4 linked regions of the Canis lupus familiaris genome follow. The protein of the gene in region 2 interacts with the protein of the main gene of each other region in a pairwise test. Links are inferred from orthologs where the notes say so. Each region holds a gene or a part of one and is shown on either strand. Other genes may lie near its edges.

Region 1 (4,958 bases), on a different chromosome or scaffold from region 2:
CACCTTCCTGACTAAAGCCATGCTCTGGGATGATGTACTCCTGGCTTAATCCTCCTCCTTTGGGCAATGGAGGGCAGGAATTCCAGGGTATGCCGAGAACTGCAGACCAGCGTAGCAGGAAGGTTAACACAGAAAAAGAGAACAAACCTTCCCACCCTCGGCCCAGGACCATGCAGGAGGCAGCTAGCGCAACACAGGTACCAAGAGCCAGAAATAGGAAACAATCTGTATGTCAAGCAATAAGGAACTGCCAAATAAACCATGGCAGGTCCATTCAGTGGAATAGCATGCCATTCACAAGTGATACTGAAGAGTATTTAATTACACAGGGAAAATTCACAGAACATTAAGTGAAGAAGCTACAAACAATATTTTAAGTCTGTTCCTCTGTATACACACAGTATACAAAAGTTCTTTTGTGTGTCAAAAGAACATCAAGCAAGGGTCAATCACTAGACACTAAACCACCAGGTGAGACTGCTGGTGAGCAGGTTATTCACGTGGTCTCCAAGCGTCCAATTACTCAAGAGTATCAAAGATCACATATTAACCACAAGGGGCAACCTTGCCTTGACACTGGAAAGTTGGCAGTCACCAAATTAACAAAGTAATCCAACTTTTAGCATCACCAGTAGAGGGACAACCCAGTACTGAATGCCTTCTGATATGATGCATATATGGTATTACTTATGGAATATTCTTGCTAAAAAACATTGAACCTGAATTTAATCATGAGGAAATAAGTGGACAACCCCAAGAACTGGCCTGGTCTCAAAAAATTCAAAGTCATGAAAAACAAAAAAGGCTGAGGGTACTGTTCTCTACTTGACTAAGAACAACCAACGGCCACTTTGGAGCAACTGGAGAACGCGGCATTGGAGTTTCTCGGTTAAATAATATGATTGGATTAATGTCAACCTTCTCAGCTGTGAGGGCAGTGCTGTGACTGTGTAAGACACTGTCCTTGTTCTGAAGCATGTAGGAGCAAGTGTCCTGAAGTCTGTGTCTTAGAGTCAAGTGGTTCGGCAAAAAAAGAAAGTTTATAAGAGAAATAAAGCAAATGTGGCAAAGTATTAAATGGTGAATCTAGATAAACGTTATAGGAGTAGTCACTGTATAATTTTTTCCACTTCTATTCTATAGATCAAAATACAAAAAAAAAAAGTTAAAAATAAAGAAATAGCACAAGGCTCTGAATAACAGTGATTAGGTCTAGTATAAATAAATAAATACAGGTCAGTTTTAGTTTTATTTGTGCTTATTTGTATATTTCCAAATTTTCCTACCATATACATTTCATATAAAAAATTTTAACTGTTATGAAAATTATCATAAAAAGGAGTGAAATTCACCCTCATTGTATATAGAGGGCCTGGCCTATAATAGTGCTCAGATACAACAGCTTTGGAGACTGTGCCAGGTGTCTGACACACACAGCACACGGAATCCCACGACCAGTGTAAACTACGTTTTTATCCCCCTTTTACAGGTAACCCAACCCTATAGAGAGTTAATGAAAACTGCCCAAGGCCACAACATTAGTAAAAGGCAGAGCTCAGCCCCACACCCAAGACACCCAAGCCCATGCTCTTGTCACTAAGCCATGCAGCAAAAGCCAAGCAGAATACATTCTTGGATATTCCAAATTTTGTATTTGCCATACATTTCCTTGCTCACACAAATTAACATGAAGTGACACATCATGTTCTGGGAATAAAAGAGAAAGTAGTAAATGCCTCAATAATCATTCTTATGAAAGGGGAAGGTAGTCTATTATCACTCATCTCTCTCAAATCTCAAGGTATCTGGCTTATCCCTCATCTCCTGCCCCAAACTTAAACATCCACAAAGATGGTCATTTGTGCTTTTCCAAGACTAACAGAAAAGGCTGAATGGGACACTGGGACACAAAGGGAAGTGGTGCATAGAAAGCCCTTTGCATAAAACTTGAAAGAGAAAAACCACGGTGCTCTGTGAGCCACCACTGCCTCCCAACTGCAGGTACTCCTCAGGTGACCAGTCTCCTAGCCTGGGGGTGGTGAGCTGGAAAGTGATGATGCAGATGTTGAGGGAACCTTGCCTTCCTCTTCCCATGTGTGAATGTGAGGACTCTCCAGTCTAGTGGGGGCTGTGTAAGGTAAGGTTTATCTGTACATTGTGATTCCTGCAGACAGCAGAATGTCCGCCGATTTCTTCAAATGTGGAAAAGTTTACTTTAAGAAGAATTTCCATTATAACCTTTTCCCAGGAAAACCAATAATATCACTTATTCATTTTATAAAAACAAAGTCATCTTATTTTTACTGAAATTAGAGAAAGGGTTAAACATGTATTTAAGCAGGAAAAAAAAAAAGAGGGAAATTAGGGAGGGGGAAAAAAATCATGCTTACCAGAACCAAGCAAGGAAAAAACCCTTTGGCACTGGAGGACATTTAAGTATTTCATTGTCTCACATCCCTCTGGGCTCTTGCAGGGTGGGGGTCAGGGTGGTGGACAGGGAGAGGTGGTAAGAGGCATTCCCTATACTAAGAAGTACCCTTTCCTATGGAGGATGTAAAGGGGGTATAAAGGGAAGAAATCCTCAAACCATTTAAAACACAATTCATCAGAACAAGGAAGTGCTGAAGCAAACTGTGATTTTAAAAGAGTCAGAAAAGAATAGTATTCTGGAAAGTTACATAAAATGTTAAAATAAAAATTTGAGGAAAAACCATAAAGGTAGTCAAAGTACAAACCTCCTTGAAAACACCATTCCCCTTTAAAAACAACTTTGACACATTTTGAAATGCATGCACCCAAAATTCTGTACCTCATCATTTTTTTTTTAATTACTAAAAAAAGTAAGAAGCATTCAGTACTTACTACTGCTTCCATATCAGAAGTGTCAGTCGGAGCAAACATAGACTGAACCATAAACTTGTGTTTACTTTTCTCATTGGGGTCATAATCGAAAGGCTGTAACATCACTGAGAAAGAAAATATTTCATTAGGAGGGTCAGAGCTTGGTTACCCGCAGCCATTTGTTATGTTAAAACTTGTACCTTGGTTATAAAGCAGTTTACCAGGATTCTCATCTGAGTCTTATAAACACCCCAGGTGAGGCCAGCAGGGCAACATGCCTAGTGTCTTCTCCACTTTTCACGTCTCAAACCTGAGATCCAGAAGTTGGGGGACTCGCCCAAATCAAAGAGCAAGTAGTGGGAGAGCTCGGACTTGGGCTTAGGATCCAGGTTTTTTGATTCCTAGCCCCTGGATCATTCACAACTGCCCACCTGACACAGAGGTCTGATATAGGCCCTACAGACGAAGTAAACTAGGTACAAATACCATATGCTTTTTTGCTCAAGACAAAACAGCAAAATGATCTTTTCAAAAAGTAAACTAGAAGAATAATCCAAGACATGTAAGTGACAGTCTCATTTTAGCTTTTCTTGGTCCCATTTCCCCTATCAAGGTATTCATGTATTGCTTCAAATACAATTTGGCCAATGCAGAGTCAGGAAATTTTCACAACCAGCACAATCACAGCACGGGAGAACATAACCAGCCTACACCCCAAAAACCTAGAGGAATCTCATATACAGGCTCCCTCCGGCAAGTCACGCCCACTGCACTAAGGAGGTGCCTCCCTGTTCCTACTGGCTTCCTTAGAACTTTCCACCCTTCTGAAATGGTGGCTGCTTTGAAATACATGATCCGCTGATCCGCTGCAAGGCTCTGGCTAAACCACACATCTGGATAAATTCCGACACACACCTTTTCACACGCAGCAAATGCCTCCTGCAGCCCTGACCATGAGAAGCCCTAATACAAACTCAGTGTCTCCCATGTGCCAGAAACCTGGCTCTGTATGTTAGGCTCTGTATGTCATTTAACTTTTAAGAGGTAGGTACTGTTGCAGAGATTATTTTAATGCCTGTTTTCAAGTGAACAAACTGGAGCACAGAAAGGTTAACTAACCTGACTGAGATCACACCATGAAGGAGGGACACTCAATGCAGGTGGCCCACCACAAAGGACTGACTCGTCCTCTACCAGGTCGAGTGCTGTCCTCCACAAGCGCCTTTCCTGCAGGGCACTCATCGGGTTCTGTGGCCTTTGAGCCCCATCTTATGGTTTCCTCTAAAGCTTACTATCCACTACCCTCTGCAGCAGATAAAGGGCACATGTCCTAAACCCTAGTTCACACTGTCATGAAGCAGCAAAACTTCAGAGCCAAGTGCAACCCAGCACCCACTCCTTCTGCCACACCAGTCACTCCAATAGAAGACAGATTCACATTCTGCGAATTCACATTCCCCTATCATATCACATAAAAAAAAGCAAATAGGGAATCAAAATGCAAATATCCCTGACATCCATCTTTGGGACACAGAGTTCCCTCTACCTTCAGGACAGAGAAAGTCTACTGAAATCCAACAACACAACAGATTTCAATGTTTCGGTACACACAGTTGCCCAGACAATTCTGCTGCCCACATCACCCATCTGACGTGCTCTGAGTTCCAGGGGACATTACTGGGAGATTTCTTCAAGATAAAAATCAATAAATGTACAAACCTTTCTTAAAGGTCACAATCTCAGGGTCATTAGATCAACCCCCCACCCCCCCGTCTAGCTCCATGCTCACAGTTGAGTCTGCTTCTCTCCCTCTGCCCATGCCCCCTCCCCCCATGTGTGCACATGTTCTTTCTCTCTCTAAAGTAAATATAAAAAGAAAAAGTTCGGGTCTTATACACACGTGACATCAAGTCTAGATACCGATACAGATATTCTGAATACCCAAAATCCAAAGTGTGACCACCAGCAGAGAGAACAAAAGGTCATTTAAAACTCAAGGCCACTCTACCTGGAATTTTACTCTTGCAAGTGCAGAGGCACAGTTCCCTCCCAAAAGAGCAGTCCTTGCTGGTGGCTTTGGGCCTGGAAGGCAACTATCTCTCCCTCTAGCACCACCA
Region 2 (4,343 bases):
GAAGAAAGACCAGAGGGGGCCCCCCTGCTGCCCAGTTTCCTGACCCCACTAGGTCTGTGAGGTGAACACCTGAGGCTTCCTGCTTTGTCTCCAGAATCCAGCATCAAAGTTTGGCAGAACCACTTAAAAGCCCGGTGTGTCAACGGAAAATATAAAGGAGGATTTTAAGGTCAAGTGGTACCTCCCTGTCTCCCCCACCTTCCTATAGTTCAGATACCGTGTGTCTCCAAACCTCCAAAATCACTCAATCCTCCAGACAGAACTTTTTTTTTTTCCCTCTGATAAGAATTTATTTTTAATTTATTTTTTATTGGTGTTCAATTTACCAACATACAGAATAACCCCCAGTGCCTGTCACCCATTCACTCCCACCCCCCGCCCTCCTCCCCTTCTACCACCCTCAGTTCGTTTCCCAGAGTTAGCAGTCTTTACGTTCCAGACAGAACTTCTTCATTCCCATCTTCCACAGTAAACAAGAAAGGCCAATCCCAAAATCTGTACCGTGGAATTCCACGTATATGACATTCAAAAGTGAGCAAAGTTGAAAACAGTGCTTAGATTCAGATACACATGGACGTGGGAAAGTTATAAAGAAAAGTGGGGGATGAGGGACAGGCCAGGAGCTAACCCTGCGGGTGGAGGGGGTAGCTGTGCTCAGGAGGGACCCACGGGGGCTCGTGGGGACCGGTGATGGGTCTGCACACTCACATCTGATGGGATTTCCCAAGTATATGTGTGTTTCCAGAAGTACATAAAAATCTCCAATTCTTCTCTCCCCACCAAACCCCAAGAAGTGTAAAGAAAACCCAACCAAAGCCACAGGGAAAATAAAACACTAGTATCATTAAACATCAGGGAGCTCCCCGCACAGGACCCCGGCAACTGCGATGCTGTGATCGGAGGCACCAATGTCCGCCGTCAGCCAGGGGGAGGGTGCTCCCAGCTTGCAGGGTATACCCCGAGTGGCCGGGGCACGGTGCGGTGCCAATCGGGGATAGGCCCTGGGGTGTGCTGCCCTACCCCCACCCCACATCTGGCCTCACTTCTCTGGGGTTGGGCCCGGTTCCAGGAGAGGAAGGCCTGTGTTCGTGGCCCCTCTTCCTCGCCCACTCCTGCAGGATCCAGGGGCAGCCTGGTTTCCAAGCCCCGCCGAGCCCACGCCCGCGAGCCCACGCCCGCATGCCGTGGTCTGGAAGGCTGGTCACCCGGTGCGGCCCCCACCCCCACCCCATGCAGACCCCCCCTCCTCCCTCCAATAACAAAGCGAGCGTGGCACACAGACGACAGTGTGGGCCGAGGGGAACGCACAAGTCTTTATTAGGACAGTCTGACCATGGACAGGCCTCGCAGACATCGGCGAGTTTGCAACCTGGCGCGGAACCTCTGTCACCAGCGGGGGGCGACCTGCAGCCGGCAGCCGGCTGCAGCAGGAACTTTCAATAGACTGTAGCAAATGTCAAGGGATTTCCAGGGCGCTTGTTCTTGGACCACATGCTACCTTGGGGGGAGCGGGGAAGGAACCGGATAAGCTGCAGGGCGCTGCCAGGATCCCGGCCCCATCTGCTTCTAGAGCCTGAAGGCCACGGGGTGCGGGGACCTGGCTCCCATGCACTCTGGGCCTGACCAGGTGGGCAGCTCGCCCCAGTGGCTTCGTCCAGGGGCTTGGGGGCCACCGGAGACAAGACCCGGCCCCCTGTGCTCACCCCAGCGCAGCCTCACTGAGCATCCAGGGTGGGCTTCTGCAGCAGAGCCGCACCTCCCCAGGCTCCCCAGGACAGTGCGGGGAGAAAGGGGGAGTCCCCACCCTGGAAGCTGCATTCACAGCAAAGGACAGTGAAGCGGGGTATGCTTCTGTCCCATTGTCTGGTTCCCTGGTGGGGGCAGCACGGGCAGCCGGGGACACCGGGACCAGCTGCCTCCAGAAACCACCTCTACCGACAGACCCAGGCCCTCACCCTGGGTCCCCATCACAAATGAGCCCCGAGTTGTCAGTCTGAGGTGAAACGCCGAGAGCAGCCCAGGGTTCCGGAGCCTTCCTGTGATCCCCAGGATGGGGCCGAAGCGGGGGCTGGGGAGGAGTCGGCTCCAGCACTCCAGCACCCCAGCTCCCAGCATCTCCTGGAGCCCCTCCCGCCCTTTCATTTCTAGGCCACAGCCCCTGACTTGCAGCTCCAGGGACCAAAGCTGGGCCCCGATGACAGTAACAAGTGGACACAAAGGCCCCAGTTAAGGACCCAGGAAGTTAAGGAGCCCTGGTCGTGTGAAGAGCCTGAAGTAGATGTTTCCTGGTTGTGACATTATTCACTGGAACCCAAACAACTTTTCTGCCTCTTTACACATCTGGGTTTCCAAAGCGGCTGCCTCTCTTCCAGGCACAGATACACCCTCCACAGGGATGGGGGCAGAGGCAGGGGCCTGTGGGGACACCTGGGTCACTCAGCCCGGCGGGGCCCACAGGAGTGTTTTTCCAAACAGCCTCACAGAAGGTGTGTTGAGGGATGCGTTCTTCCAACGCACAGGGGCAGGAGAGGGTCTCTGCAAAGGGAAGGGACTTACAGACTGGCACCAAGTCACACGGCCCGGGTCTCGGCTTCAATTTTCTGCTCCCCGTGTAAGCTCTCTGGGTCCTGGAGCTGGGCCACACTCTGTCGGATGGCGACCTCCGGGCCACCACCATACAGGTTGTTCAGGTAGACCCAGGTCTCCTCTGAAATCTGCCCGTAGTCGGCTCCTGCAGGGCCCAAGAGGCCACCTGGTTGAGGCTGGGCCTGTGCTAACCTGCAGGCCCCCCCTCAGTGAAGTCAGGGTCCCTGGCAGTGGGGGGGCTCCTGGAGGTCCAGGCCCCAAAAGGGAGGGATGGCAACCTTGCACCTCCCCGCACAGCTGTTAAATAGCACTCTCAGGATGCTCCAGTGGGACATCCATCCTCTGAGGACCCGGGAAGGCACATCTCTGGCTGCTGCCGTTTCTGGGGTGTGGGGTTCACGCAAAGGACAGGCAGAGGCCGGCACAGGGTATGGGTATGAGCAGCGGGGTCCCTGGGCCTGTGACTGGCGGCCTGGAAGGACCGTGGGGAGCCTGGTGGGCCTGGGAGGTCAGGGCTGGCGCCGGCGAGACTCACCCTGCTTCAGCTGGATGTGGCCACTTCCTTTGACCTGAGCGATCCTGCTGTTGTCAATGGGCCCCGGGGGCTCTGGAACAGACGTGGCTCAGGCTTAGTGCCTCTGGGCCTCTGCAGCAGCAGGAAGAGACTCCAGCCCCCCACCACGGCCCTCTACCTCTCCACAGGTAAGAGACAGCCTCAAGGTGGGACCCCTACACTGTGACCCTGGAGGGGCTGTCCGGGGCCCAAGGGGTCTGTGTAACGTCCTTACAGGGACAGGAGCTTGGGCACCAGAGGCTCATCCACAGAAGTTGAAGAGCCAGAAGGGACTCGGAGTATCCCTGGAGCCTGCAAAGGGGATTTCTGGGACATGTGCACTAGTTTCAGACCCCTCACTGCTGATGGCAGTGGCCACTCGCTGAGCACCCTTCTCCAGACCTCATGTCATCCTCGACATCACATGACTCGAGAGCTGTTTCCAGAGGCAGGGGACAGGACTGCCCAGGGAAAAGCTGGCAGGAGGCCATGCCAGGGCCCGAGGGCAAGGCTGCGACACCACAGCCAGGCGTGACCGCCTCCACATACACTAGGGAGCCCTCGGGCACCCCTGTATGGGGCTGGATGGCAGCGAGGCCCCTCTCCTTGCCCTGAGGCCAGGCTAGGACTTAGGCCCTGAAGGGCAAATGTCCCCTGCAGAGCCTGCTGGCCCTGCCGACCCTGCATGTGGGGCTTGGGGGTGGTGAGGCAGCCGCTGGCAGGCCAGAGCTTGAGCTCCGTTCTTTCTTGCCGGATCTGCGGGAGGCTGCCTCCGCCTCTGTAAGGCCAGAGGTCAGAGGACACCATGTCCATGTGCTTTCCTAAGAGTCTGAAGCCGTCTGTCCACTTAAATCTTGATTTAGGTCAAGAGACCCCACAAAGGAAAGGGCCCAGCAGGTGGAAGGCAGCCCTGTCTGGTACCATGAGGGACAGTACGTGAGGGAAGGGGCAGAGCAAGACGGCTCCTATCCTACTGCAGCAAGAAGGCCTGGCCCTGGGGCATGGGGTATGGGGTGACCTGGCCCCGGGGCGTGGGAGGCGGCAAGGGGGTGGACAGGGCCCTGGGGCCAGAAGAACACCTGTGCTCTCTGCTCCTGTAGGAGGCAGACACTTGCCTGAAGGGTGGCACCTAAAACCTGCTGGGCAGCCACAGACCCAGGGCCCCCCACTCCCCCAGCACTCCCGGCAGATCTGAAGCCTGGTG
Region 3 (4,805 bases), on a different chromosome or scaffold from region 2:
GAGAGTGCATGCATGACTTTGGCGGGGGGCTGGTGGGAGCAGAGGGAGAAGCAGACTCCTGGCTGAGCAGGGAGCCCCAGGACCCACCCCAGGGTCATGACCTGAGCCACTGACTGAGCCACCCCTGGCGCCCCCAAGTTATGCTACTTTAGTATTATGTCCTCCTTTTATAAAGCAGAACTTAGACATAAAATGACTTTTCACTGTGACATTTACCTTTACTTACTATTTTAGATGTCTTGACATCACCCAAGCAATTTATTCATTCCTGAAAACTTAATCCTAAATTTTTTATAATACTGCCACCAAGTGGTGGTGATGCCCCATTCTGCCAAACATAGTTATTTTGGTTGAGTGAAAAATCCTAGTTGATTAACGAATTTTTCCATTTCATGTCACAAATTCAACAGTCAGTAGACCTAAAAATATACATTGCCAGTATCTTTTTGTAAAGCATGTTTTAAATTATTATTAGCAGGATATCATCTGATACATATTCATCCTCTTCATTATTTTTTTAGGAAAAGTGTAACTGTCTTCTTCCCTATTAACCACTTTGCAAATTGAAAGGTATCTCAATGCTAAGGAAAATGTCTTTCTTTTGGCAATATTAGTTCATAAGGCTGCACCTAAGTATTCTCAGCCATTTTCTAAAACAGTTACTTAAAATTTAAAAAAACGGGTTTCACGATGTTTAATGCAAAAATTTAGTTCTGTCTAGATAATGCTCATTTAAGTGTGGCTTACTTTGCAACTACAGAATGCTTTATTTATTTCTAAATCTTTAATAAACTCAGATTTGACATGGAAGTCAATCCCTACCCCATTTTGTTTCCTTTCTCATAACCACAGCATAAATAGGACTTTAGGTGGTTACTAATTATACTAGTAGATAGATGGTACATGAAACAGAACTTATAGAATAATGATAAGACTTCCTTAAAATGATTTTAACATTTTATTGCTGTCTATATGTAATGCAAATAATGGCTTCTGGTGATAATAAAGCATTCCGATATTACAGACCAGGGCTACACACTTGTAAACCTGCTTTACATAAACCATACAATAATATTTAGCTTAATACAGAAATTCAGAGCTAGGAGGCAAATCCTAATAGACTGTATTTAAGACATCTCTCTCATTATTAAGTTTGACATTTCTCAGAGGGAACTAGCAAAATCTTAACCAATGATTAGGGAAAGAATACAACCATAAATAGTAGTAAGGGCCTGAGAAAAATATTTCTTAAAAAAAAAGAAATCACACACGAACACTGTTATGTACATTATAATCAAGTCTAAGCACAATTTTTACATTGTGTTTAGTAATATCCTAAGAATGTGAATTACAAAGTTTACCAAAATTGGTGAAATAAACTTAATAATTTACAAGGAAAACAACTTTACATTTTAGTGTTAGATTTTCTTTTTCAATTACCTAGTAGAGAAAGCAGGTCAAGGGCTCACAGGCAAATGTTAACACATTTTTTTATTTTTCACAGTTATTGTAATCAAATATTAAATAATTTAATTCATAAGTGTTACTTATATGCACAAATTACACTTGTAACAGCATGACTTTTACTTGAAAAATAAAGGATGAAATATTTACTTATTTACACACTGCCCATAACACTGATGGACTTCTTTCTAATGCTTTGTTTTCTAAAAGTTTTGTTGTTTATTTTAAACAAAAGTACATTTGAAGAGACTGAACCAAAAACAGTACCACCAAAGAGGGACCTACCTCTCCTAGCAGTTCAACTAAGACGACTTAGGACTCAACCTCATCCTAAAGGATGAAGAGCCTTTTAAAAAAATAATAAAACTGAATCTAGCTATGTTTAAATATAAATCGTACTGCTATAATGAGTATCCTTAAAAAATGAAAAACAGTAAAAAGCACAAAATTTTTAAACTTTTACAACACTGCATTAATAAAGGTGATGTAAACTTTCTGAACATTTCCTTAGACACATTCTTTCTCAACTAACTTTTCAAGGCCTTATCATGAAGAGCCTTGATAACATTTTATTGTCAAGATAAATGCACTTATTTTGGGAAAGCTATTAAAGTAACTAATTCTCCACTGCTTCTCTTAAGGTAAATGTAGTTTTCTACTTAGATCTCTATTTTTTTTTTTTATGTAAAGCCAACAACCCTGGTTCTATGTGTAACTTACTACATTTTACCCTATAATCGTTCCCACTAAGGATGCAATATTATTTTAAAAAGAAACTCTAATTTAAATGTGTTGAAAATAGAAGGACCAATTTAGAGCTGTGACCTAGGAAATAATATATCTAAGTTCAACCCGGGAAATGGGTCTTTCATAAGTGAAGATTAACTACAACATAACTGACTTGTTTTATTATTAATTATTCTTCAGTTTAATACTAATCTGACAGTCATACCTAGTTAGATAACGTCATATGACTCACTTGTGTTTTATACAAAAGGGCTTAGAGAAAGTTTTAATAAAACATTATAAAATATTAATTTTCTGCAGCTTATAGTTCTTAGCATTAAAGGTGTTCTGTTATAATAAACATAGAAGTAATCCTACTACCCAAAGATACAGTCTGGATTCTTTCATTAAATCACTGCTGCTTTGTTACTAAATACTGCCAAATCCAGTGAAAAGGTAAGATAAAAGAGAAGCTATGTTTCACTTGCTTCACACAGAGGTTCCATTAGGCACTCAGTTGGCTATTCATTTTTCTCTGAAAGAATAAATCTTCACCTTACCCCTTCCCTCACTACTTCTTTCCCAGTATATGGTTCACATATAATGTGAAAAAAATAACAAATTTATGTTTTTAAAAAATGTATATTCACTAAGTCCCTATTTAATGCAATTTTAATCTGCTCAAATATTTAAATTTTACTACAGAGTAACTTTTTAAAAAGCAATATTGTACTGAATTCCCCAAAGTCCTTTTAAGTATACATCCTAAATTAACTTTGAGTGCAGAATTTCTTATATTATGTGCAAAGTAACTCTTAACCACAAAACTTTGAAGAACTGCTGCATTTAAAATCAAGCAACATCCAATACTCCAGCAGCCACAAGATGCCTTGAGAGCCAATCTAACCCTTCATATAGTCCCATACCACTTCGAGCATCACAGCCCTGAATATACCAGCTACGGCCACAGCACAATTTATGCAGACTGAGAAGTTCAGTGATTTCTTCTACTGACAGAGCTCCAGCAACATCCTGAAAGATATATACATAACAAAATTTTTATAATCCACTCATCAAAATTATTTATATAGAATTCTGTTGGTGCCATTCTAACAAAAGCCTAAAGTTAAAACCTAAATTCACCTTTCAGTAACTATTCTGTAATTAATAGAGAGAAAAGTAGGGTTGTGATTAAGATCATTTATAATATAGTCTGTAGGAATAACATCACAGTGAAATCAATAAAGGCAATGCAGCCTGAATGAAAGATACTGCCTGAGTCATAAGGCATTGACTTAAAAAGGTTAACACATCTGTATCACAAAAATGGCTCATACATAGAATTTATAAAATGAAGTTACTAAATTCCCACTCCAAATACCCCCGAACACCCCTACTTCCTAGAAGCAACCACCAGTTATGATATTTTATATATTTGTCCAGATAATTTCCATGCACATTCATGCAAATAAACATCCTTTAGTTTTTTTAAATTTTTTACTGAACACATCTTGAAGATAATTATCTTTCCATTATCTGGACAAGTAGACTTTCAGCATTATTTTTAACATCGAATTACATTCCTGGGTGTAGGTGCTACATTACTTTTCTTAACCAGTCCTATTCTTTTTTTTTTTTTTTAATTTTATTTATTATTCCTGAGAGACACACACAGAGAGAGAGAGAGAGAGGCAGAGACACAGGCAGAGGGAGAAGCAGGCTCCATGCAGGGAGCCCGACGTGGGACTCGATCCCAGGTCTCCAGGATCACACCCTGGGCTGAAGGCAGTGCTAAACCGCTGAGCCACCCGGGCTGCCCAACCAGTCCTATTCTTAATATTTACTCTGAACTCCTATTTATGTGCTATTACAAATACATACATATACATATGTAACATTTTTACCCACGTTCATTTGCACCATTATCTGTAGGATAACTTTAGGATATTTGTAGAATACTTTCCTAGAGGTAAAATTGCAGGGTACAGGTATATGCATCTAAAATTTTGATAGGTATGGTACTGCCCAATTGCCCTCCAAGAAAATGTCTCTAATAACCACACCAACAGTATATATGAGTCTGAAGATTATGAACATTTTTATCTTTAACGATGAAAAGTGGGATTCACTTTGCCTTATTTACGTGTCTTTTTCAATAAGTAAAGCAAAGTGTATCTTGCTCTTAGTAGTTTGCCTTTTATTTTTTATGAGGAAAACCTTTTATTCGCCATCCTACCCTTCCTTTTTATGACATGTTAGCCCCTCTACTGCACTTGTCATCCTCCTAGAAGCATAGGCTCAGATCTAGGAATCTGCAGCTTCCCCGTGTCCTTTACCCTCCCCATTCAGACACAGAATTCTAACAAATCTACGTTCATAAACTCTTTCCAATCTGCTTCCACCCTTCTATTCCTTTAATTGAGGATCTTGCTAACTCTCTCACTTGAATTACTGCAGCGATTTACTGTGTATGCCTGTCTCTAGTCCCTTCCCCCTAATTCTGTATTCTACCCCCAGACTATGGTCTTAAAATGCAGAGTCCAAAAACCTTTTGATGGTTTTCCTGTCACAGAATAAAACCTAAATTTCTCAGTCTAGACCTTATTTGTTATTCT
Region 4 (4,958 bases), on a different chromosome or scaffold from region 2:
GTGACGTTCTTCTTCCTGGTCTCTTTGTCTCTACTCTCTTCTCTCCAACTTTCATTATCCATAAGGCAGTTCCACTTTTAAGACATAGGTATGATTATTCCTCTATTTGAGAGTTACAATGGCTCCCTAGTGCCCACAAGATGATGGTCAAGGGCATCAGCATGGCATATTAGGGCTCTTACTACTTGGCCCCATTCTACCTTTACATCATCATCCACTACCAGAGCCAGCCAGATAGCTGTTCAGGCAGCATTGGACCACTTGCCCAACCCTGCAACTTTGGACCTGATCCTCCCAATGCTGGGTACTTCCCAGGGCCCATCTTCAAATACAGAAATACAGAATTCTCATCCATTTATATATATCCAATTATATTACATTCTCTCAGATCCATTTTAGAGAACAATTTCTACAAGATTATTATATATTTTCTGTTTTCTCCTCTGGACTTCCACCAAATTTTAAGAGGACTATGGCTAAGAAATAATAAAGAATAGAAGAGTACCTAAATTTGGATGCCTTTGAACTGCTGGTTCCATCAGGTAAGGGAGTCAATCCACACATTCTTACCCCAACCCCTGCCCTGCCAGGGACCCTGAAAGCTGGTCTCATTATTTCCAACGAACACTATCTGTGGACAAAATTGCCTCATCTAACAATGGGATTCATTGCACAGACCTCTAGGTGCAGTTGTTTCTGTTGAACAGATGAATCAAACGGCCTATCAGCTGGATAATGTAAAGATAATTATCTCCATATACTTTCTGCTTTTAGAAGCATGTTATTCCTCAAAGATAATCAGCACCTAACTGAGTTTTCATGGACAATTGTGAATGTGCTGTGTTAAATTTAACAGCTCTTGTTAGCAAAAGTAATCATGAATAAAAAGAAATTTATTTTTATTTGGTATATGAACAAAATTAAAATGGTGATATTGGTAAAGATAAGAAAAATTCTATTATTAATGTACATAAGGCCTTTATCAGATCTTCCTCAATTTATCTCTGAAGTATATTTGGAGCTTAAAAATAAAGAAAGGAGAAAGTTCAGTTATCAGCATTAGAGCGACCCATTTAGGAGATGATTTACACAATGGAAATGATTGCTCCTCATATATTAATGTCCATCAGAAATGAACTCTTAGAAAATTCAAGAAAAACATAAAAGTGTTCATGAAAACTGCTTAAGATGGAATGTACTTTGTGTTGTGGAATAATTCACCTCTGTTTCCAAATAGGTGATTGACTTGGGTTTTGAAACCAGGGCCTTAGTTCCAATAAGCATATGATATAATCAAATCAGCTGATTGGCCTGGGGTGGAACATTACATCATTAATGATTTTTTTAAAGTTAAGTTTTGAGTCTAGAAGGACTGCTTAATTTTAGCATGCGTTCAAAGATAAAAAACCAAAACAATAAAAACCTTTCATGTTGAGGGTTGGATAAAAGTTCAAATGACTTTCTAGTCTAAAAAAGTCACCTCTCTTTATTAAAGACCCAATGTGGATACAAGCTAGCAAACTGCCTTTCTGCAATCTGAAAGGAGACACTCTTTTTTTTTAAATAGCAATTATTTTTTATTTAAAGTTTAAAAGGTAGGGCCAAACTCCAATCCCATATAGGCCCGTGGGTGTTCTCAGCAGGATTCTCATCCTATGCAAACTGATAATAATAGATCACTCACTCTTGTTTATTTTAAGAACTCTCCCAACCAGACGGGGTTCACATTAATGTACTTAGATAAAGATATTGTAAACAGAGTATGCAGTTGCAAAAATAGCACATTCTTAAGGACTTCAGTTTATGGTCATACAGCTATAAGATGGCAAGTCGGATGGATCTCTTAGATGTCATCCAACATCCAGGACTGCAACAACTTTCTAGCTATGATATTGAAATAGAAAAACCTTTGCAGAGCATTAACCAACCTATCATTATAAAGAGTAAATGGCATGCACTGCAACCTAATTAGCAGTGTGGCTTGCATCTATAAAATAGAATTAGCACTACTGCTCTTTTTTTATTATTAGTTTGTGTTTCTAGAAAGGTGTGACCTTATCTGTAAGGTTCTGTTCATTTATGCCCATTTACAAAGGATTTAATTATGTTCTTTTAGCTCTCTACGCTGAGGAAATTGAAAACGGCCACTTCAGAATTAAAACTGTTAAAGAAATTAGTGAGCAGATTATTTACTCCATCACCCTTCTTCGTGCAGGGATAAAGAATGGAAACACGTTCAAATAAATGAGGTTGAAGATTTTTGGAAGAGAACATTCTAGGTAAGGAAATTATTAATAGTCTTCCTTTCCTCTTTCCCATGGGTCTTTTGCAGTTTCTCTAGTTTTCTTGGGCAGAACCAGTTAAGGGGAATGTGTATTAATACTATAAGATTCCTGAAAATTCCATCACCTTAGTGTGAGCAGCCAGAGAACATGGACTTACATCTGAGGCAGGCGACTCTAGGACGATGCCGAATCCCAGCACACGGCTCTCCCCAGAAGAGGGGTGCTCGGCCGTTGGGGGGCCAGGCTGCTCGGAGGCCCCTGCTGTCTTCTTCTCAGTTTCAAATGCGCCAGACTTTTGCTTCACAGTTAGAGGTTCAATGGTCTTTGGGGGCACTTTTTTCTTTTTATTTCTCTTGCGTGAGACAGCAGTTCGCTGGGAGCATATAAGGGAAATCGGGGGTTGTTGTCTGTTTTGGGTTCCAACTGTGAAGAGTGAACAAAAATAGGGTACAGGCACCTGAGTCTAACTTAGGAGAAACCATCGTCCATCTATCTACGTGTTCTACTAACTGAGACCGAAGCACGGTTCAGTCAAAGAAGCAGACCAGAGTCAATCTCTTGTGGGACCTGCAGATCATCAAATGACGTCTTTGAAGCACTTTAGAGTTCTACACACAAGAAAAGCACTGTCCTCGATGCTGCTAAATAATTACACTCACTGCTGCTGCTGGGTTCCGTGGAAGGCATTCTGAGCTGTAGGAAAACATCTGAGTGTGATTTTATAAGTCGCAGGACATTTTTATATAAATGGGAACTCAGAATTTAAGTTCAGGTGTAGATGTCCAAGCTTTCTGGTAAGCCAAACTTAGGAATATCCTTGTTTGGATATTCCAAACATGGAATATCCATGATGATGGATGATGATCCATGATTCTAATCATCCTTGGAGGGTAAGTTGATCAGCTGCTAGCAATCTACAGGCACTAATATTGACTAAGAGTGAGCAATGATGATCATTTATTAAAGAATGAGTCTGGCATGACTCGTACGTTATGTAGGCAAAGCCGGCTAGTCCTTTATCAGGGCCAGTTCCTCCTTCCTTACAAACCACGTTATCCACACACAACCATCTCCACAGAACTACACTACTGGGTTCTGACCAGGCTGCCCTCCATACCTTGGTTTTAGGTAGTGGAAAAATAGGAATGATATAGTTCTTCGCAAGTCAGGAAGACCCGTAAAATCCAGAAACAGGTGGAATTCCAAAGATGAAAAGCACTGAACAAACACCAAGTACTAGTATTAAATATATACTTAAGGAAGCCAAAGATGGTAAGTATAGTTTTCACAGATGTACTCTGGCAAGTCATGTTTGTTAACCATTTAGAAATATTCTGATGGAAAGTGTAATAGAAAAACACGGCATCATTATTTAAATCTTCATGTAGCAATATGGCTTACTAAAAATGATCATGGGATATGCCTGCTTTTTTACAGAAATAAGCCAAATGAAAACTAAAGATCTTTAAATGCACATAAATATGGATCATTTCCCATCAGTTTGCAAATAAAGGATATTTATACTTTGAGCTTGGTATTTGCATCTTTAGACTGGCGAGAAATTTACAAGTAAGTATTAGAAACCCAACTACTTGGGGTGCCTGGCTGGCTATGTTGGAGGAGGAGCATGCAACTTTTGATCTTGGCATTGCACCCATGTTGGGTGCAGAGATTACTTAAAAAAATAAAAAAGGAAACAAACCACTTGTACTGCATAGGAGCACTGAAAAGGTTTTTAACCACTTGTGTAGTTATTAGTTGAGTTCACTGGTGCTTGACCTTGGCTGCATGTTAGAATCACCCGGGAGCTTAAAAAAAAAAAAAAAAAAAAAGGTCCATGCCTCAGCCTTACCCCAGACTAACTGAATTGGAATTTGCAGGGGTGGCGTCCGGGGAACTGAGACTTTTTTTTTCTTTTTAAAGCTCAAGTGATTCCAGTGTGCAAGCTCAAGTGGAGAACTTTCCTCTGTTCTCTGGATTTTTACCCTAGGTTAGGTCTCCATGCCCAAAGTCAAATAGACAAGGAAAGCAATTATCAATGGTCTAGGACTCATGCCTCTCCAAGCCTTGCTATTCTAAATTAAAGGGAGAATGCATTTGGTTTAAAGAACACAGGCACTTTCAGAGTTTTTCTCCTGAGTTTGCAAGTCTAGACACAGCCATAGTCTCTGGCACCCAGATCTTATCGCTTCATTGTATTCCTTGTCTTCTCCCTAAGTAGAGGCGAAACTTTCTAAATATAAATCTACAGGTGTTATAGACAATAAGCCTTAAGTAAATCTACCCACACAATACAGATTCTTAAGTTTAAGGAAATTAAAGAAGAGTAATTTCTTCAGTTTATCCTTTCTGCTATCCTACCAGCTCTGGAATCATTTACTGCCCTAATCTGCAAAAGGTTCAGAAAAGAAAACACGGTGACAAAGTGGCATTTACTTAATAGATTCCAAAAGGGCTTCAGTCAAGGATTTAAATGGTTGCAATTTGTAGTTTGCCATTTCGGTAGTAAGGAGCTTAAGTAACAAAATAAATCATTACCATTTCATATGCATATTTTCTTAAGTGCTAACAAATTCTTCCTCTGAGAAAAGAACCAGTAAGTCATGAAGTAACCTTTCTTTCTCTGCTCCTTATTTAAGAGACAGTAACTTTTTCTAGGTCAATAAGAACATG

Evidence for each region.
Region 1: the proteins of USP20 (region 2) and VAPB interact in binary tests that used the Homo sapiens proteins (3 or more experiments, as listed by UniProt). The two-hybrid records come from large-scale screens. The link is inferred for Canis lupus familiaris from reciprocal best matches to the Homo sapiens genes USP20 and VAPB.
Region 3: the proteins of USP20 (region 2) and TRIM23 interact in binary tests that used the Homo sapiens proteins (3 or more experiments, as listed by UniProt). The link is inferred for Canis lupus familiaris from reciprocal best matches to the Homo sapiens genes USP20 and TRIM23.
Region 4: the proteins of USP20 (region 2) and BEND7 interact in binary tests that used the Homo sapiens proteins (3 or more experiments, as listed by UniProt). The two-hybrid records come from large-scale screens. The link is inferred for Canis lupus familiaris from reciprocal best matches to the Homo sapiens genes USP20 and BEND7.

What each region holds. Positions count from the first base shown.
Region 1 is NC_049245.1:43,968,636-43,973,593, reverse strand, and holds part of VAPB (vesicle-associated membrane protein-associated protein B/C), read right to left. Parts: intron 2,967-4,958; coding exon 2,863-2,966; intron 1-2,862. UniProt on the Homo sapiens protein: Endoplasmic reticulum (ER)-anchored protein that mediates the formation of contact sites between the ER and endosomes via interaction with FFAT motif-containing proteins such as STARD3 or WDR44.
Region 2 is NC_049230.1:54,054,890-54,059,232, forward strand, and holds the end of USP20 (ubiquitin carboxyl-terminal hydrolase 20), read right to left. Parts: intron 3,194-4,343; coding exon 3,122-3,193; intron 2,732-3,121; coding exon 2,571-2,731; 3' UTR 2,557-2,570; intron 1,499-2,556; exon of another isoform or gene 1,495-1,498; 3' UTR 1,292-1,494; downstream 1-1,291.
Region 3 is NC_049223.1:50,554,679-50,559,483, forward strand, and holds the end of TRIM23 (E3 ubiquitin-protein ligase TRIM23), read right to left. Parts: intron 3,223-4,805; coding exon 3,043-3,222; 3' UTR 940-3,042; downstream 1-939.
Region 4 is NC_049223.1:21,975,215-21,980,172, reverse strand, and holds part of BEND7 (BEN domain-containing protein 7), read right to left. Parts: intron 2,709-4,958; coding exon 2,443-2,708; intron 1-2,442.